4 linked regions of the Caenorhabditis elegans genome follow. The protein of the gene in region 3 purifies or fractionates together with the protein of the main gene of each other region. This does not show direct contact. Each region holds a gene or a part of one and is shown on either strand. Other genes may lie near its edges.

The links.
Region 1: the proteins of prmt-5 (region 3) and acdh-7 fractionate together in Caenorhabditis elegans (co-fractionation; one large-scale study listed by BioGRID). This does not show direct contact.
Region 2: the proteins of prmt-5 (region 3) and T25B9.9 fractionate together in Caenorhabditis elegans (co-fractionation; one large-scale study listed by BioGRID). This does not show direct contact.
Region 4: the proteins of prmt-5 (region 3) and dnj-11 fractionate together in Caenorhabditis elegans (co-fractionation; one large-scale study listed by BioGRID). This does not show direct contact.

What each region holds. Positions count from the first base shown.
Region 1 is NC_003284.9:17,214,479-17,218,702, forward strand, and holds acdh-7 (Medium-chain specific acyl-CoA dehydrogenase, mitochondrial), read right to left. Parts: upstream 2,628-4,224; 5' UTR 2,625-2,627; coding exon 2,196-2,624; intron 2,132-2,195; coding exon 2,001-2,131; intron 1,621-2,000; coding exon 1,191-1,620; intron 891-1,190; coding exon 642-890; 3' UTR 540-641; downstream 1-539. Other genes in the region: acdh-10 (putative medium-chain specific acyl-CoA dehydrogenase 10, mitochondrial), read right to left, coding at 1-215, 331-418.
Region 2 is NC_003282.8:10,768,028-10,772,688, reverse strand, and holds the start of T25B9.9 (6-phosphogluconate dehydrogenase, decarboxylating), read right to left. Parts: upstream 3,037-4,661; 5' UTR 3,029-3,036; coding exon 2,699-3,028; intron 2,576-2,698; coding exon 2,506-2,575; intron 2,472-2,505; exon of another isoform or gene 2,377-2,471; coding exon of another isoform or gene 2,265-2,376; intron 1,903-2,264; coding exon of another isoform or gene 1,793-1,902; intron 1,746-1,792; coding exon of another isoform or gene 1,500-1,745; intron 1,454-1,499; coding exon of another isoform or gene 1,341-1,453; intron 1,279-1,340; coding exon of another isoform or gene 1,156-1,278; intron 1,108-1,155; coding exon of another isoform or gene 977-1,107; intron 929-976; coding exon of another isoform or gene 710-928; intron 662-709; coding exon of another isoform or gene 607-661; intron 543-606; coding exon of another isoform or gene 399-542; intron 329-398; coding exon of another isoform or gene 325-328; exon of another isoform or gene 1-324. Other genes in the region: inpp-1 (Inositol polyphosphate-related phosphatase domain-containing protein), read left to right, coding at 399-542, 607-661, 710-928, 977-1,107, 1,156-1,278, 1,341-1,453, 1,500-1,745, 1,793-1,902 and 1 more; T25B9.8 (Lin-15A/B-like domain-containing protein), read left to right, coding at 4,530-4,553, 4,601-4,661. UniProt on the Caenorhabditis elegans protein: Catalyzes the oxidative decarboxylation of 6-phosphogluconate to ribulose 5-phosphate and CO(2), with concomitant reduction of NADP to NADPH.
Region 3 is NC_003281.10:5,228,638-5,235,058, forward strand, and holds prmt-5 (Protein arginine N-methyltransferase 5), read left to right. Parts: upstream 1-1,917; 5' UTR 1,918-1,941; coding exon 1,942-2,237; intron 2,238-2,286; coding exon 2,287-2,368; intron 2,369-2,461; coding exon 2,462-2,655; intron 2,656-2,736; coding exon 2,737-3,018; intron 3,019-3,062; coding exon 3,063-3,468; intron 3,469-3,745; coding exon 3,746-4,227; intron 4,228-4,846; coding exon 4,847-5,018; intron 5,019-5,242; coding exon 5,243-5,461; intron 5,462-5,509; coding exon 5,510-5,581; 3' UTR 5,582-5,870; downstream 5,871-6,421. Other genes in the region: atp-2 (ATP synthase subunit beta, mitochondrial), read left to right, coding at 1-11, 61-690, 738-1,449, 1,498-1,598; mrps-26 (Small ribosomal subunit protein mS26), read left to right, coding at 5,981-6,142. UniProt on the Caenorhabditis elegans protein: Catalyzes the symmetrical dimethylation of arginine residues in targets such as small nuclear ribonucleoproteins, histone H2A/H4 and cbp-1.
Region 4 is NC_003282.8:6,584,119-6,588,690, reverse strand, and holds dnj-11 (DnaJ homolog subfamily C member 2), read right to left. Parts: upstream 2,821-4,572; coding exon 2,737-2,820; intron 2,685-2,736; coding exon 2,408-2,684; intron 2,363-2,407; coding exon 1,827-2,362; intron 1,773-1,826; coding exon 1,635-1,772; intron 1,579-1,634; coding exon 1,216-1,578; intron 1,166-1,215; coding exon 794-1,165; 3' UTR 505-793; downstream 1-504. Other genes in the region: lec-11 (Galectin), read left to right, coding at 2-137, 206-456; F38A5.2 (TraB domain-containing protein), read left to right, coding at 3,291-3,386, 3,438-3,483, 3,555-3,782, 3,838-4,136, 4,192-4,317, 4,362-4,499, 4,545-4,572.

The sequences.
Region 1 (4,224 bases), on a different chromosome or scaffold from region 3:
AGCTTCAACAATGAGGGCAGTCTCAAGAGTGGTCATTCCTGGGCCACCATACTTCTCCGGAATCTGTGGGTTCATGAGTCCAAGGCTATGAGCCTGTCGGACAATTTCCCATGGAAACTCTCCGCTCTCGTCAAACTTGGCTGCATTTGGGACGAGAACATCCTTGGAGAACTTGAGAGCGGCGTCTTGAATCTCCTTTTGGGTTTCGCTGAGGTCTGAAAATTGTCAAATTAAGTTTCGTACAGTTATTTAGTTTTGCTCTGTCTATTCTCAAGAGCTACTAAAATCTAGATTACTTTGGATAAGTTGCCAAAAGTATATTCAACTTACCAAAAGAAATTTGACGAGATTGAGTGGCAATGACTCCGGTTGCAGAGCGGGAAAGCCCCAGCGATGATGTTGCAATTCGGGAAAGCATATTTAACCTGCAACTTTTGAATTAAAACCTGAGAATTAAAAAAAAACAACCAAAAAACAATACAAAAATATGTAACACGGTGACAAACCGTAAAGTGCGAAAAGTAAATAAAAAAAGCAAGTAAATCAAAACTGTTTCTTTTTTTTTCAAATCATTTACAATTACAAAATATACCAGTGTTTTGTACAAAACTGTGATCAAACGGGGAAAAACGGGTGGCGTGCTAATATCCTCCATTCTGAGCGACTCGAGCGAGCAACTGACGAGCAATGACCATGCGTTGAATTTGCGAAGTTCCCTCGTAGATTTGGAAGATCTTGGCGTCACGCATCAGCTTCTCCGCTGGGTATTCAGTGTTGAAACCAGCTCCTCCAAAGATTTGCACAGCATTTGTGGCGGCTTGGTTGGCAGTGTCGGAAGCGAAGAGCTTGGCGATCGAAGCGTAGTAGGATCCTGGGCGGCCAGCGTCAACCTGGAAGAGTGAGGGAAATTATGATAGTTTGAGTGTGTTTCTGCAGAAAATGGCTGGCAATTAGCGTGCTGACCAATCTTTTCTAAGTTTAATCAGCATTTGAAGTTCGTATAGCGTTTTGTAATTTCCTATAATAGTACCGATTTTATGCTCATATTCCTATGTACATCACTGTGATGTTCTGCCTGCTGCATCAAATGCGTCATGGTGTTTGCGGACTTGTAAATTTACGGGGCGCCTCCCATTTTAACATAAACATTTTATCCTTCAAAAAGCTTGATTTGATTCTGCTTGACCTACCTCTGCACCACTCTTGTAGGTCATCAATCTAGCGAGCTCACAATTGATGGCCATCTCGGCAAGCAAGAACGACACTCCTTGATGGTTGGCAATTTGCGTTCCAAACGCTTTTCTCTCCAGAGAATACTGTGTGGCGACGTCCAAGCAGCGGTAAGCAACTCCGGTGGCAAGTGCTGCAACAGTTGGCCGGGTTTTGTCGAATGTCTTCATGGCGACCTTGAATCCCTCTCCTGGGGCTCCGACGACGTTGGCGGCTGGAACACGGACGTCTTCGAAGGTAATACCACGGGTGTCTGAACATCGTTGTCCCATGTTGATCTCCTTGCGTCCTCTGGTGAGTCCTGGGGTGTCCCCTTCAACGACAAATGCGGTGAAGGCTTTTCCTGCTGCGGTCTTTGGGTCTGGGTCGGAACGGGCAAGCACGAAGAACCTGAAAAAAGAGCGTAGGAATGTTGTGAATTTTTTAGCGACAAAATATTTTATTTTCAGATAGATTTTTCCAGAATGCTCCATTCAGCATATTTATGGATTTACAGTGGCCCATAACAATATCTACGGTAGACCTTTTTTCTCGCGTCTCCTAGAATCATTGCACTTTGACCTGTTGATTATAAGTACACGTTTTGATAAGAAAAACGAGGGTTCTTCATCTTCCTGTCGCATTCTTTCTTTCTCTATTCCATTTCTCTCTCTCTCTCTCTCATTTCCACGTCTAGCGGTACAAAGTCCAAGTTTTGTGTAGTCGACCAATCATTGTAGTCTGCCCGACTTTACAATGACGTAGATCCTCACCACGTGGAACTCACTCACCAGTTAGCATGTCCGGCGTTTGTGATCCACATCTTTGAGCCGTTGAGAATATACTCATCACCCTTCTTCTCACACTTGGTTTTGACTCCGGCGACGTCGGATCCAGCTCCTGGCTCGGTGACGGCGTAGGACTAAAACAAAATTGATTAGGTGTTATTTACCGTAAGAACTCAAGTATATTTCGAAAATACTTACCGCCACAAACGGATTGTCGATCATTCTACCAAGGAATCTCTTCTTGATATCATCATTGGCACATAAAATGAGCGGGGTCAGTGCAAGATCATTAGCCATGATAGCGGTAGCAATACCCGAGCATCCATATGCCATCTCCTCACTGATGATACAATTCGAGACCATATCAACTCCAAGTCCTCCATAAGCTTCTGGAATGTCGGCGATCAGATATCCCTGTGCATGAGCCTTCTTGATGATCTCCCACGGGTACTCCATGGTTTTGTCGTATTCGCCGGCAACTGGGATGACCTCATCGGCAACAAACTTGCGAACATTTGCACGGAACTCTGCTTGGTCAGCGGTCAACTGGAAGTCCATGCCGGTTGACATGGCCTTGTTTGTGGTGCTGAACAGACGCGTGCATTTCGTCAAGTTTCTGGAGAGCATTTTCTGAAAAAAACTTTATTGAGAGTTTGCTATGAAAAATCGATAATCCTAGTAATTGAGGAAAAGACAACAACAAAAAATTGGAACACACACGGTGTATGTGGCGTCTGCTGCTATCATCAAGAGAAAAATGTTTTGTGAAGGTAAAGAGAGAGAGAGAGAGATGGAGAATTGGCCCGCTTGGGCGGAGACTACTTGTTGTTGGGTATGGATAAGAAAGTCACGGAGGTGATAAGGATGGCACGCTTTTGATACTGTTTTGGGAAAAACTGCCAATGATTTAGAAGAATATGAGATTAATAGAGATCAAACAGAAAGAACCAGAGAACTGCGAAAATGGGGTGGTGTACTCAAGAGAAATGAATGCGAGATATGGGGAGGGGGGGGGGGGGGGGGGATCGATGGTCCGCAGACTGTCGTCAGGTGTGGCACTTTGTTGTGTTGGCAGAGTGTTGTGGTAAGAGAGTGCGAGACGCAGATGGTGTAACGCAGGTAAATGACCACATGGCAACAGTGTAGTCACTATAAAGTCCAAAGTGCATAGGTGCATGTTCTTCGGAGCGTATGAATGTTACTTTGGTACTTTAATTGAGCAGTTTTTTTATGTTCAACTATTATTCAAAATCAATGAAAAAAGTATACCAAGAATGTTTATAAATAAAAATATCCACAATTCATGAACAATGAGACGCAGGATTAAGAGAAAGAAAAAACAGCTAATAAGAGTTTAGTTTCCGATTCACTCAGAAGTATAGACAATAAAAACATTATACATTTGAAATAATTCTATTGCAAAAATTTGAGTAAGGGGTGGGGTTTTTTTTTGACAAATCGGCAAATTCCCGAAATTTTTTCTTGGAAATTTTTAAATTTCAATTTTAATCGGGAAAATTGTAGGCATCCTATGAATGTTCCTACATCTGTTTTTATTTCAAAAATCCCTTTGGCCACTTCCGGTAAATTGATGTCCGGCAAACGGCTAATCGGCATTTTGCCGAAAATGAAATTGTCCGGAAAATCGGTAGACTGGCATACAGCCGGAATTGAAAATTTCCGGCACACCGGCAATCTGCCGATTTGCTTAATTTGTCGACTAGCGGGCCTATGGGCCCGCCAGCCCTTCGGGAATGGGGATAGGGTTAATTCGCTCTAAGTTATTAGCAAGGTAGCTGGCGCAGGTTCTCGGCTTCGCCTCGAACCTGTTAACGGGATATTCGAGATCTCTTTGAAATTATTTTAGGAGTGGGTATATGTTTAGAAAACTTGACTATTCAGGTTTGAGGCTTCGCCTCGAAGCTCTTACTGTGTAAAGTGAAATCTCTTTAAACTTTGATTCATTGCTCCAGGACCGACACTGTACGAATAACTTAGGCTGAGATTTTGTTCAAGAATAATTTGAATGTATTCAATAAAATAAGCGTGTTTTCAATCATCACTGTGAACTACAAAAAACGGTGAAGGAAAAGGAAAACTCATGAATACGGCCTGCTCTGCTTGGAATAGGATTAAAGCCAGCCCACAATTTTTTAAGAGTATTCGGGCCTGCGGCCCTCAAACCTGGTTGTTAGGTTTGAGTAAATAACAACCGCGTCGCAGGCCT
Region 2 (4,661 bases), on a different chromosome or scaffold from region 3:
TCTCCTGTCCCCATTCATCTCTGCACTTGCCCATTTCCCTTTGCACACCGAAATCTACATAACATTATATAGCACCACCAACACCAGAGTCGTCCGTTATACTTGTTCGTCATTTTATCATCGGACAAAAACGAGCGAATTGCACACGAAAAACGCGGGCTTTCTGACATACAAAAGTGCGCGCTCTTCCCTCCCGTTCCTATACTTGAAGCCTCTGATAGAGTCCGTCGCTATTGGATTTATGTTCTCTATTTTCAATATGCATTTCGAAGCTTAGTTGGTTGAAACGAAGCAATAAGCCAAGTTATTTAATTCATACAGTAAATGGGTAAGACTGAGAAACATTTGAGTTGAAATCTAGTATTCTACATTTATTTGGACGTATCAATTTCTTTTAGATGCCAACACTCCCTCTGCATCTGGAGGTGATCCAAAATCAGGAGATTCTTCAAGTGAGAAGCAATCACATCAAACTCCTACTCGACACCCTCCATGGCTCCGTTCTTCCTCTCAACCTGCCACGTGGCGTAACAGCGCCTCATGTAAGCCTCTAATCCTTCCCCGACTTAATCCTATTGTTCTGACACCCATTACACTTCATTTCAGTCAACGAGATCAGTGACGGCAATTGGACATACTGCATTGAAACGCAAAATACTGCGTAAGTGATTACTTTTTTTTCATCATTCATTGAACATATGATATTTAGCCCTGCTGTAAAAGGATTTGGGAATGTTCCAATTGTCAGTTACGACGTTATTGAAGCTATGGGTGATAGAAAACTGAAAGTATGTACCGTGACATGGAACATTAACGAAAAAGGTGTGAAAATATTGAGCCATCTCGCTCAGAAAATAGCAGAACGAGGACAAGAAATGGATAGTGATATATTTTTCATCTCATTGCAAGAAATACCTTCCACAGCACCGTTAGTTCCGAAAACTATTAATTTTCGATTAACTAAAATCAGTTTCAGAACTTTTCATGAAGAAGCATTACGAATTCTTGAGCCAGTTCTCAATGGTCATCGTCTGTACCTTTCACATAGAGCCTGGAGTCAAATGGTAATAGTCTTCATTCGACAGAAACATCTTCGATATGCAATCCGTGAGTTCAGATCTTATAATCTAGAATCTAATAGTTTAAAATTTCTAGAACCACAAGTATCATTTATCGCATCTGGTGCAATGGCAAAACCAGTTCGAACGAAAGGTGCAATCGCGGTATGTCTTCGTTTATATCAGCGATTTATAGTGCTTATCGGATGTCATTTATCACGTGAGTGGTCCCTTACATTGTTAGACTAATGATGAGAACACAAAAATGTTATATTCTTACAGATGCAACACCACAACAACGTATCCAAGACTACGCTAAAGTGGTCCGCACTCTTCGTTTTCCTCAGCTTGCCAGATTTCATGCACATGCAAAAGACGAAATTTTTGGTTCTGACGTAAGCGCCTCTGAAGGGCGACACTTCCTCCATAAATCATTTTCAGGTGGTGCTTTGGATTGGAGATTTGAATTTCCGGGTTACTGTAGAGAGCAATGTAGACTGGAGAGATCCGGAAAAGATTACAGAGAAAACATTTAGAGATGTTTTTGAAACAGAAGAGCTTGCCAGTCATAGGAAAAAGCAATTAGCATTCACAGATTTCAAGGAAGCTCCAATTAAATTCCCTCCAACACATAAATTCGAGCCAGACACAGACAATTATGTGCCAAAAAGGATTCCGTCTTTTACTGTGAGTAATTTCTGATTACAAACATTGCTAAGACTTCAATATTTTAGGACCGCGTTCTCTTTTGGGTAAGAAACTCGGAATGGCTCCAAAACATTCAGTACGATTGTATGAGAGGAACAACACCGTCGGATCATAAGGCAGTTTTTGCCACTTTTTGGTTAGCTTTTTTTAAACCTAGCAATAGAGTATGGTTAATTGGAAAATGATTAAAAACCATTAATATTGTATTTAAATTACCAAAAATAATATTAAATATATTCAAAAAATTTTGTAAAATTTTTGTATTTCGAGTCAAAAAGCGGTGCGAACTCAGTTTTCACCAATTTTTTTGGAAGTAGTGTACCAAAAAATTTATTTTGGTTTTATGTTATAATTATGTTTTAAATATTCATGTTAATTTAGCGAAGAGTTTTATTTTGATATTTGGTCATTTTAGCATCATAGGAATGGTTTTTAATCATTTTTCCAATTAACCTTACTTTTAATTGTTCACTATTTACTGGTTAATCATTTTTCTAGGCTAACTGTGATCAATAAGCCGGTTCCTGAACATTACAAGCAACAAAAGTCGCTGGAAAGAGAAATATCAATGAAAACCAACTCGGTGGATGCAAGTGGACCAGTGAACTAATATTAATCTAAAAAAGCATATTTCCAAACATTTGGTTTAATCTGGTCATTAAATCCCTGTTATTGTATTTTTAAATAAATTACCGTATACCTCAACTCTTTGCAAACAATTCAAAATACAAATTCATACCTTCTTCTCCTCCGGAAACTCCACAGCCGACGAACATGATCCCCTTTGCGGCGAGTTGCTCGGAGCGTCTCTGAAAATAATTGTTGTTTGTCAGTTCACAATCGATTCACTATATTACATATTTATTTTATTTTTAGAGAGAAAAGTCTAATGAATAAAATAAATAAATATTTAGAAAAAAACAAAAACTTACGTTTGAATCAGTGTATTCAGAATTTCCTCCATCAATGATAATATCACCTTCCTCAAGATGCGGAACAATTGCATCGATCATCATATCGACAGGAGTTCCGGCTTTAATGAGCATCATGACACGACGTGGTCTTTTCAATTTCTTGCACATTTCCTCAATTGAATGAGCTCCAATAATCTTAGTTCCTTTAGCTTCATTGGCAAGAAAATCGTCGACCAATTTGACAGTTCTGTTGAAGGCGCAAACAGTGAATCCGTGATCATTCATGTTCAGAATAAGATTTTGACCCATAACGGCCAATCCGATGACGGCAATATCAGCTTCGGCCATTTTAATTTCTGGAAAAAGCCATTGAAAATTAAAAAAAAGGATTTTAAGAGTGACGGAGAGAAGAAAAATATAGATTGCGGTTACAAAATTGATTTTTAAAAGTCTCTTATGGCGTAAATGACCAATTTATTTCAGAAAACAATTCTCATGTGTGAAATTTTGATCAAAATGGTTCAATTTCGGGAAACATCAATGAAACAATGATGATAATGTTTCGAAAAAAGTGATGCCAGAAAGGATTTTTTCATTACTCAGAATTTATAAATTTGATGTGAACGTTTTTGGATAATTCGGGGAAAGTTGTAAAAACGTGAGAGACGACTTTGATTAGTTTTTTGTGAGGAGGCGCCTCCCGCTCTTTACTTCATTTTTGGACAAACAATCAATGTCATCATCATTATTTTGTGGCCTACTCCACTCAACTTCCATCGCTTATTTATATATTGACTAGTGGAGGCGATTTGTTTTGTTTATAGGCCGTGTAATTATTATTATAACAATAATTGGGTACAGTTAGAAAAACTGAACTGGTTGACGGAAAGTGCACAGAAAAAAGAAAAACGAGGAAACCAGATAAGCAAAGAGACGGAGACAGATTTCTGCAGTGAATAAGAGATTGGGGGAAATTTGTGACTATCTTGTAGACCACACTCGGAGTTCTGTGAGATGTTATCTTTCTAGAAAATTGACCTCAATAGGTTTTCGAAAAGAAAAATTTCAAAATATTTCAAGGATAAGGATTCAAGTATTTCCTGAATTCAAAAATTGAACGCAATGATAGGAGAAAATAAGTTTCTGTTCTTTTAGAACGAGTGCCGACGAATGCCGACGAATGAACAAAAAACAAAGTGGTGTTTGGCATTGAATTACTTTTTTTTCTCCCCTGCACTCTTGTTACTTTTAGGCTACGACGCAAACAAAAAATGCCGGAGGTTTTGTCACCTTTTTTCAAAATTTTACAAGAAACGATGACAATTCGATCTTCTCGAGGTGTTTTGTTTTCGCTCAGGATTGAAAGCGTCGAATATGATGAGAAAATTGGAGGTTCAGAGAACAAATTGCATTGTAAAACGGGAATCAGAGTACATTTAATTTATGTAAACATGCGCAAGCAGGAATAAGATCCAAAGAAACACGGGAAAACTTAAAATTGAAATTGACACACTAATCTTTTAAGGTAAAAACTTTTTCTTGAGAGGTCCGCAAACTCGCTCTATTGGGCTACGGCGGTAATTCGAACTGAATTCTCTACATTAATTTTTAGTTTCTTTTTTTTTAATTTAATAAGAGCGTTCATCGTTCACTCAACGATTTTTTTTCTCCTTACGTCCTCATTCTCCTATATTCTCACAAAACACATCTCTGCCGTCGTTTCGCTGCCTACACTGCCTTTGTCTCGTTGTCTGCGTCGCTGCTGACCCTGCGTTGAGCGAGTTTCTTACCATATTGATTGTCAACTTTATTTTTTTATGCAATTAATTTACCTAAATAATAAAACTAAATGGAGAACATCAGCAATGAAGAGGTCAGTTTTAGAGTTTCCTAGGTATTTATAAAAAATCCAAATTTCAGAAACAAGCTTATCAGAAGAAAATGCTCAACGTGTTGATGATTGATTTTCTGAGAAGTACAA
Region 3 (6,421 bases):
CTGCCACCAAGGTTTGTATTTTTTTTAGTCAGATAAATTCAATTCAATTCTGGTTTTAAGGTCTCTGCCAAGGCTACAGCTGCTAACGCTTCCGGACGCATTGTCGCTGTCATCGGAGCCGTCGTCGACGTCCAGTTCGATGAGAACCTTCCACCAATCCTCAACGGTCTCGAGGTAGTCGGACGTTCCCCAAGACTCATTCTTGAGGTCTCTCAACATCTCGGAGACAATGTCGTCAGATGTATTGCTATGGACGGAACTGAAGGACTTGTCCGTGGACAGCCAGTTGCTGACACCGGAGATCCGATTAAGATCCCAGTCGGACCAGAAACTCTTGGCCGTATCATGAACGTCATTGGAGAGCCAATTGACGAGAGAGGTCCAATTGCATCCAAGAACTTCGCTGCTATCCACGCTGAAGCTCCAGAATTCGTCGAAATGTCCGTCGAGCAGGAGATTCTTGTTACCGGAATCAAGGTCGTCGATCTTCTTGCCCCATACGCCAAGGGAGGAAAGATTGGACTTTTCGGAGGAGCTGGAGTCGGAAAGACTGTGCTTATCATGGAGCTCATTAACAACGTCGCCAAGGCTCACGGAGGTTACTCTGTGTTCGCTGGAGTCGGAGAGCGTACCCGTGAAGGAAACGATCTCTACCACGAAATGATTGAAGGAGGAGTCATTGATCTCAAGGTTAGTAGGAAAAAATGGTTCATGGTATTTAAATAAACAATTTATAGGGAAAGAACTCCAAGGTATCTCTCGTATACGGACAAATGAACGAGCCACCAGGTGCCCGTGCTCGTGTGTGCCTCACCGGTCTCACTGTCGCCGAGTACTTCCGTGACCAGGAAGGACAAGATGTGCTTCTTTTCATTGACAACATTTTCCGTTTCACCCAGGCTGGATCTGAAGTGTCCGCTCTTCTCGGACGTATCCCATCCGCTGTCGGATACCAACCAACCCTTGCCACTGACATGGGAAGTATGCAAGAGAGAATTACCACCACCAAGAAGGGATCCATCACATCCGTCCAGGCTATTTACGTACCTGCTGACGATTTGACTGATCCAGCTCCAGCTACCACATTCGCTCACTTGGACGCCACCACTGTCTTGTCCCGTGGTATTGCCGAATTGGCTATCTACCCAGCTGTCGATCCACTTGACTCCACCTCCCGTATCATGGACCCCAACGTTGTCGGACAGAACCACTACGACATTGCTCGTGGAGTTCAAAAGATCCTCCAAGATTACAAGTCCCTCCAAGATATTATTGCTATTCTTGGTATGGATGAGTTGTCCGAGGAAGACAAGCTTACCGTTTCACGTGCCCGCAAGATCCAACGTTTCCTTTCCCAACCATTCCAAGTCGCTGAGGTGTTCACTGGACATCAAGGAAAGTTCGTATCACTCGAAGAGACAATCCGCGGTTTCACCATGATTCTCAAGGGTAAGAATATTTAAACGTTGAAAACATTAAAATTAAATCAATTTTCAGGAGAACTCGACCACCTTCCAGAAGTTGCTTTCTACATGCAAGGAGGAATCGATGATGTGTTCAAGAAGGCCGAAGAACTCGCCAAGCAACACGGAAATTAGTTTTATTTTTTTTGTTATAACGCCGACACTTCGTTTTTCTTTTTTTCAATGTTTTTTGGTAGAGATAAATTTAATGTATAGTTTATTGTATTGTTGCGGTAGTGCTGTTTCCGTCAGACCACTATTTGGTGACTCCCAATACGTTGTTTTCCATCTCTCACTCTCCCTTCTTCGAATTCAACTACCAACCCAAATGCCCTAAAAGGCAACAAAAATAAAGCAAAAACATTATTTTTTTCACACCCCAAGTTCATTTGACTTCTAGTATATTTTTATCAGAAATAAACAGAAAGCCGATGATAAAACTGCGAGTTTGTTGATCGTCAAATTTCAGGTTAAACGAATGAGTAACAGAACGTATGCCGATAATCTGTTTCCACAACAGGTCGCGGAGCAGCATGAGGAACAGATGTCTTCTGGTTCTTCGCCCAAAAGTAATTCTCCCAGCAGAAGTATAAGCTCTGTTGAGGCAGCGAACTCTAGAATACACATCGGATGGATGGCCACAACCTTGGACGTTGCCGAGAATCTAGACCGTCATGTTGCTACTTTCTGTACACGACTGGGAGAGTTCAAGTATAACTTTGTCGTCTACCCGATTGGAGGGGTCGTTCGCGCATTCTGGACGCCTAATGGAAGGTTCACATCGACTATCTTACCCAACTTCAACTAGACTACTAATTTTCAGCGCGGAGAATCATCCACCTGTTATTGATTTGCCCGATGTTCAGCTGAGAAATGATCTCTGGGAAAGCTATGTTGTAGGAAAAGTATGGGGGGTTTTTTTTTTAATTTTAATTACTTTTTCGAAGAACAAGCCCTTTATTCTTAAATTAAAACCTGAAATTGTCATTTTTTTCAAGATTTCTCCATGGATCGACTGTGACTCTTCTGATCCAGCCTTTGCCTCGCTTTCCGAGGAACATCTTCTGAAAGAGCTCAGCTACATTTGTTATTTGGGTCTTCAAACGATGGCAATCGAGCTCACACGCATCTCGTCGCCTCGTACTGCTGCCATTTTGAAAAAATGGATTTGGACTAGAAATTCGCGTTTTACGTAAGTAAAATGCAATATGAAATAGCTCCTTTTTTTCAGTAAAATATTTTTTAAAAAAGCAAAGTTTATATTTATTTTCAGTGTTTGGGTTCAACTTCCGTCTGCAATTGAAAAGTGCAAAGATTATGACGCTTTCACAATAGAACATGTTGATTTATGGACAATTTGGGCCGATTTCCGGAAGAATTGTGGTAATTTCAGTGGTGTTTATTTCCAAGTGGCTTTGACGATCTCTTCGGAACTTCCCGATGAGCTTACTGAGCTTAAACTTGTGGACCGTTGGAAGGCCGAGCCCCTAGCAGCTTTTGTTATCGAATCGGGTCTTTTTATTTCTGGAAGAAATGGAGAAGCATCAATTCCAAGGTAAATTTCAAGATTACATTTTCAAATAAATACTAATTTTTCAGTGCCCACATAAATTTATTAAAACATCTATGGACAACTGATGCACTTCGGATCGTTCTTCGTGCCACAACGGATACATTCAAGTACAATACTTCTATCAAATCCGAGTATTCTCAAGCTCTTCGTCATGCAGTTCGAAATGTTAATTACCGAAGTCGTCCTGATGTTGGAGAAGGATCGAATGACTCCACTCATTATCTTAATGTTATCGAATACAAAGATGTTTTGCAAGCACCTCTTCAACCATTGTCTGAAAATTTGGATTCAGGAGTTTATAATACATTCGAGCAGGATCAAATTAAATACGACGTGTATGGAGAAGCTGTAGTTGGAGCATTAAAAGATCTTGGAGCTGACGGAAGAAAAACTGTTGTCATTTACTTGTTGGGAGGAGGACGTGGTCCTATTGTGAGTTTTTGGCTATTAAGTAGAAAAAGTCCCTTTTAATTCGACATGAAAACATATTTTGTGGCCAATTGAAAACACTCCACCCCCTGACCATGGGTCTCGTTTGGAAGTTGGCGACAAGCCGGAAATTCAAACATTTTGCAGTTAATTTTGCCAATTGTCTGAAGCGAACTGCAACATTTTTCAATTTACAGTTTTTCGGTCTAAATGAATATCAAAACGGGCATTTTTATGCGTCTCCATAGTTTTAAATATTATAAATTTCAATTTTTTTCAGGGAACGAAAATTCTGAAATCTGAAAGAGAATACAACAACACATTCCGACAAGGCCAAGAAAGTCTCAAAGTGAAGCTTTATATTGTTGAAAAGAATCCAAATGCAATCGTCACTCTGAAATATATGAATGTGAGAACATGGAAACGACGAGTAACGATTATTGAAAGTGATATGCGAAGTCTGCCGGGAATTGCGAAAGATCGTGGATTCGAACAACCTGACATAATTGTTTCGGAACTTCTTGGAAGTTTTGGAGATAACGAGTTGAGTCCTGAATGTCTAGATGGTGTCACTGGATTTTTGAAGCCAACAACAATTTCAATTCCACAGAAGTACACTAGCTATGTGAAGCCAATAATGAGTACTCATATTCATCAAACAATTAAAGCTCAAAGTATTCCTTATTTGAGTCGTGCAATTCCATCGCATGGTAGAGGTGAACCGGAATTGGATGAAGACGAAATGTGGATTCAAAAATACCCGTTTGTTTTTCAATTTTTTTATAAAAATATAAACATTCTGCCTTATTACCCCGATGCCAAATTTTGCTAGTCCCGGTCTCGATTAGACAAAATTTTTAAAATTAAAAAAAAAATTCAAACAAAAATCTTTGTTATATGCGAAAACGTGTGCACCTTTAAACTATACTGTAATCTAAGACTTGTTGCTGCAGAGTTTTTATTAATTTTTTATAGTTTTTTTTGGTTGGCATTTTATTATTTTAGTTTAGTTTTGATAAATTGATATTGATTTTTATTTAAAAAACTATGAAAAATCATGGGATATTGAAATTACAGTACTCTTCAAAGGTACAAAAAGTTTCGTATTAACGAATATTTATCGTGTAGATACCGGGTACCGTAATATTAGAAAAAGTATCGCTAAAATTCATGTTGTGGTAATAAATATTTCTGAAGTTTTCTACTCTTGTGTACATAAAGGCCCTGGCCGAGTACACGGAGGTTTCTAGGCCATCTTTTCTTGACGGGAGTATCCGCTCCACAAGTTATGCTTCAATTTACTCTTATTTTAGAATAATTTTTAATTAAAAAAAAAGCATAAAAACTTTTTTTTTAAATTTTAATAAACATTTTCTTTCAGACAAGGACATGTTCGTAACAATATGGATCAAATCTACGTTGTATATCTTTCAAAATACATTCCACTTGCCGAAACCACCAAACCAGTATTCACATTTGAACATCCAAATTTCATGAATTCAAGCAATGAGAGAAGCGATTCTATTGAATTTGTTATGGATAGAAATGCAGATGTAAGTTTTTCAGCAAAAAAAAAAAAAAAAACTTAGAAATTCTTAAGAAAATTTAAAAATATTTTTTCGTTGATTATTTGAGGTAATTTGCTTATATTAAATGCAAAATTCGCACAAATGACAGTCCACCTTTGAAAATAAAACAATGAATTGAAAAATTTTATTGATAAAATATGTGTTTATTAAATTAAAAATCAAATAAGTTAGAACCTAATTTATTTCAGCTGATGGGATTCGCCGGCTACTTTGATCTTCAACTCTACAAAACCGTGATGCTTTCAATTGAACCATCAACTCATACACCTGGAATGGTCAGTTGGTTCCCAGCTGTTATTCCACTTAGAGATCAATTGAGAGTTGGAGAAGGTGACAGAATTTCTCTGAAAATCGATCGAAAAGTTGACAATACTGGTGTGTGGTACGAATGGCATGTTGAAAAAAAGGTAACAGTTTTTGATAACTTATTAAGATTATAGTTGAGTTTTTTCCAGAAAACCAATGGCGAATCTGTGAGCACCCCGATCCAGAATCCAAATGGAGAGAGCTATTACATGAGAATGTAGTGCCTAGTTTTTCGCTTTTATAATTATTATTTTCCTGTTTTAATCCTAATTGTTGATGTGTTATTCACTTTTGCGCCCCTATTGAATTTCCCAATCATTCCTAGAATTTTTTCCGTTGGTTTTCCCATTTCCTGTTGCCCATTTTCCGGTTCATTAATTTGAAGATTCTTTTTTGCTCCGGTATCTATCGCGATTCGATTGTTGCTCCTTTTAATTCGATATTAATTGTTTAAAAATTCAGTTTTTAAGTTTCCGTTAATTTTCCGAATTAAAGAGCTTGTTTTATTCTGTTGTTTTTTTGTAATTTTGAATTATAGTTATTAGTTTTCATACTAAAACATATTTTTATAGAGATTTTAAAGTTTTCCCAATTATTTTTCATTTAAAAATATTTTCAGAATGTTGATAAACAGTTCTCGTTTATCAATTTCTTCAACGGGACGATGTCTTTTGGCATCTGCCATGTCACAAATGGACGAAGTATTCGGAGTACAGAAGAGACAAATGGGACGACGGCAACCAAAGCAGGGAAAACCACCAATTTTGCCTCCATCGAAGAAAGTGAGTTCTATTGATTTTTTCACTAGAACAAAAATTGGAACATAAAAAAATCCAATTTTTGCCGAAAAAAATGCGCCAGCGGGGCTTTTTCCCAAAATGACAGAAAATGTCTCAATATACCGAATATAACTGTTAGAAAATTTACAGTATTTTTCTAACTCCTTAAAAATGGGTTTTTTCAGTCTTGCAACAAAAAAACGTGCAACTTTTTATTGAAAAATTTAGAAGAATTCTATAAATTTTTAACAGTTTTAAATTTTGTTACTCTTATCTATAAAT
Region 4 (4,572 bases), on a different chromosome or scaffold from region 3:
GATCCACGTGGACGGACATCACATCGGACATTATCATCATCATAAATGCCCAAAACGAATCGTTGCAATGACTGTTCGAGGAGATCTTCGAGTTGGAAAAATTCATTTCGAAAACTTCAAACATCATAACGGAGGAGGTTGGTTTTTATCTTAATATTCTGGGGATTTTTTTTTGTTTTTTGATTTCCAATCTTAATAATTCTAGGTACTGAAATCGGTGTAATGCAAATGCCTGTTGCTCCAACTCCGATCGTTGTTGCTCAACCACCGCCTCCAATGATTGTTCCCCAACCACAGATTGTTCCGGTTGTTCAGCAAATTATGCAACCAATGGTTCAACCCATATATCCAAGTGTTCAACCAATCGTGTATCCAACTGCTACTCCAATCATCTATACTCAACCTGAAGTTATCTACATGGACGGTTATCATCACCACCGTCACCATCACTATTGAAATTTGTACTTATTGTGAAAATGAATGAATAAATGAACATGACAAATTGATAGGGACGCACCGTTCATCTAATGTTCATAACTGAGACATGAATATTGAGCACTGCAGAAAAAGTTTGATGACAGAAACAAAAAAAAAAGTACATAGTACTACTGAATTTGAGTTGGTCAAGAGTCAAGAATGATTAAGGCTTTCAAGAATAAATGAATAAATGAAGAAAAAACAATATAACGAGCTAAAATGTGATGGGAACGGAAACAAGAGTTATGGAGGAGAAACAAGAAATAATATGAAGGGATGAGGAAGATTTAGAGAAGATATTACTTGGACTAGAAGATCATTTCTTATTTTTAACCATTTGAACGAGATACTTGAAACGACGAATGCAGGCTTTTTTGGACTTTGTGCCAACTTCTGTTGAGATCTTTTCCCACCGCTCGGGATCACTTGACTTATGCTTCTTGATAGCGTCCTCTAAAGTTTTCTGTTCGGTTGCTGACCAGACATCCTCATCTGGTAGCGCAGTTCCTAGCTGATTTTGAGTAGTTGATGGTAGCTTGACGTTCATCGTTTGAACAGCTTTGCATTGCTTGATAACCTGTTTTTCAGTTTTTGGTGGTAAACCCGTAGAATCCTTGCGATGCTCGTTAATGTAATCGGCAATTTGAACCCATCTCTCCACGGTTCCAGGTGGGAATGTGTTTGAAGCCTTTAAAAATATGAAAATTAATTAATGATTTCCAATCGTTTATGTCTTACCTTAACCAATAATTGAATCTCTTCACTAGTCCATGTCTCCTTGTCGGCTTGCTTTTCATTTTCTTTGTTCTTATCCTCAGTGATTGTGACCTTTGCTCCAGCAGCTTCTTTCTTCAGAATTTCAGCATCTGTTAGCGCAGTTTGAATTTCAGAAGCAATTGAAAGTGATTCGACCTTCTCGCACAGCTCTCTGAGTTGATCAACAGTGAACCCAATGCAAATCCGCTCAATTCTTTCCATTTCAGTGAGCTTATCGCGAGGATTCTCCGTCCAGTGGCCAGCTTCATCAGCGAGTTTCTTCAGACGCTTACGCTGCTGAGACATAGCTTTCTTGGCAATATCACGCTCTTTCTTTTCTCTCTCCTGAAAATAATAGTTAGTATTTAAAAATCGACAATATTCTGGTGTATTGTGCTCACTCTTTCTTCCTTTGCTTTTCTGTCAGCTTCCTCTTTCTGCTTAGCTTCGGCTTCTTCCTTTTCACGCTTCTCACGGTCGATAGCTTCTTGCTTTTCACGGATGGCTCTTTGCTTATCTTCCTTTGCTTTATCTTTTTTCTAAAATTTAAAATTGAAAATCCGGCAAAGTTTAGGCAAAGTTTATAGACTTACCGCTTGCTGTTCCTTCTTGAACTTGATAATTCTAGGATCCTTAGCATAAGCTATATCAACCAACTTTCTAATTCTCTTCGCCTCTTCTTTCCGCCGTCTTTCTCTTTCTGCCTTATTCTGTTTCTCCATCTCTCGTCTTTCGTACCGATCTTCTCCTCTTTCCTTGTCTTCTTCGTCCAAATACGAGAACTCGCGCCATGACTGGAAGTTAAACCAAAAATCGTAGAAATTCTCGACATCCTCCCGGGTCGCATCTGATTTACCAAGTTCTGGCACTGGCTTGATATTGGACCATCTGGAGTTTAATTGGAAAACTGGAGCAAGTTCGTTATAAAAGTTATTATGGTTGATTGATTTCTCATTTGGAATAATATCGTTGAATTTATGATCGACCGAATCGAAAGCTTGACGTTTGACGTCAGACATTCCAACTTGTTCATAAGCTTTTGTGATACAAGTAAAGTATTCTTCCTTCTCCATAACAATTCCACGATGCTTCTTCTTGTCCGGGTGATGCTTCAAAACCTTTTGACGATCTGAAATAATTCTCTTCAAAAAATTCTCACTTCATTTTAACTTACAACAGAAACGAATTTCGTCAGATGTAGCTTGCCATCTGAGCTTCGACAATCCTAAAACTTTGTAGTGATCCTGATTTTTGCAGTCATTTGGATCCAGCTTCATCAAGTACTTTTCATATTTTTCATTATCAGCATCAAAAAGATCTTTTCTCAATTCAGCTGGCTCTTCAGACGACTTTTTTCTTTGCTGTTCCGTAACAGGCTTTGCAACAGGAGAGTTTTTATAGATTGGAAGCGTACAGTGGCCCAGTGTGAGTTTATCTCGAATAAGGCGAGTCTGAAAATGTCAGTTAAGAAATATTTGCGGACATAGGTGATAGTAAACTCACTTCATAGCATATTCCGGCTGGCTCAAAAGCTCTGCTTCGAGCTGTGAATCCATAAATTGCAACTTGTAAATTGCCCGTAGTCATCTATAATTATTAAATTATTTTGAGCCTACTTTAGTCCTAAAACGAAATAAAAGAACATAATCAGCCTAGAAATTTCTGTTTTCTTTTTAAATCGCGTGACCACAGTTGTTCATAAAAGATTTTCAGCAACGAAAGAGAAGAAAAAGGGACATAATCTGAGAAATAAAGCTGAAAAACTACTGAAAATAATTGCGGGGGATTTACGAAAGAAGAAATCGTGCCATGGTTGCAAAATGTCGAGTGCGGCGCGGTTTTAACCGAGTCACAACATAAATTATGGAGACGGAGACACAATGCAAACGCGCTTCGCTGGTCTTTTTTGTTTTTTTTTCTTGTAACTTAAAATGGAAACCTGGAGTGATTTGGATTCATTTTAATTGTTTTTCAGCTTTGTAAGCTCCGCTTTGTACGCGATTGTATGAAATAAAACATGTTATAATTTCAAGTTATATCCAAAATAAGGTTTTCAGATGTCAGAGTCATCGTCAAACTTGAATCCAGATGGAACTGAGTTTCCAGACCCTAATGACGTGCCACCACCATCGGAAGATCAATTGACTGAAGAGGTATGCTGAAATATTACATTTGTAAAAATTATTAACAATCTCCATGTTCAGGATCTATTCCGGATGCGTTCTCTGACAATCAATTCGAAAAAAGGACGTAAGTTTTTTTTCATCGCTTGAAGTTGTTTGGAAAGATAATTATTTTTAAAATATTTAATATTTTTTTAGTTTCAGTTGTTGGTGGTGCAAGTGAGACAGCCGAGCAGTCCATCATATCACTCGCAGATTCGACTTCAAATTTTGATGAGCATGTTGGAGATGATGCCGAGTTGGATTATGAGCTGGAACAAGCTCCTGAAGCAACAGAAGATGGTGCAGTGGTGAACAATCCTGTTTGTGGAGGGTACCATTTCGGAAGGAAAAGAGCAGATGACTTCGTCCCAAATGCCAATACAGGTTTCTTAAAACTCCAGTTCGATGTAACACTGATATCTATATTCTATAATTACAGTAACAGTGCTCAAATGGCCTACAAATCTGGCGATTCCTCCACGCAACCCCGTGCTGAGCGATTCTGATGAAGAATGGAAGAAAGCGATTCTCGACTCCACCATTTATCTCATCGGTACAGCTCACTTTTCAAAAGAGTCGCAGGAAGACGTATCCAACACAATTCGTGCTGTGCAACCTGATTTTGTCATGCTTGAGCTGTGTCCATCACGAATTTCAATCATATCGATGGATGAGGCTCGGCTTTTGAGCGAAGCGAAAGATCTCAACTCTCAAAAAATTATTCAGACCATGAAACAAGTGAGTTCTCATATTTTTGTTGTTGTAATGTTGTAATATTTTCAACTTTTTTAAGAACGGCGCGATTCAAGGAATTCTGCACGTTCTTCTCCTGTCAATGTCAGCGCATGTAACACGTGAACTTTCCATGGCTCCCGGAGGAGAATTCCGTGCTGCTCATCGTGCAGCAGTTGCAACTGAGGTTTGAGTATTTAAAAAGTTTTATTTACAAAGTAACTATTTCAGAATTGTCGTGTAGTTCTCGGTGATCGTCCTATTCAAGTTACACTTCAACGTGCACTGGCTTCTCTCTCCATCTGGCAAAAAATTCGCTTCTTCTTCCACGTTGCATTTTCACATCGTGAGAAGATAACTGCAGAAGAGGTATTTAATTATTCAACCTTTTCCAAAAATATTCCAAAATTATAGGTGGAACGATGCAAGCAACGTGACCTTC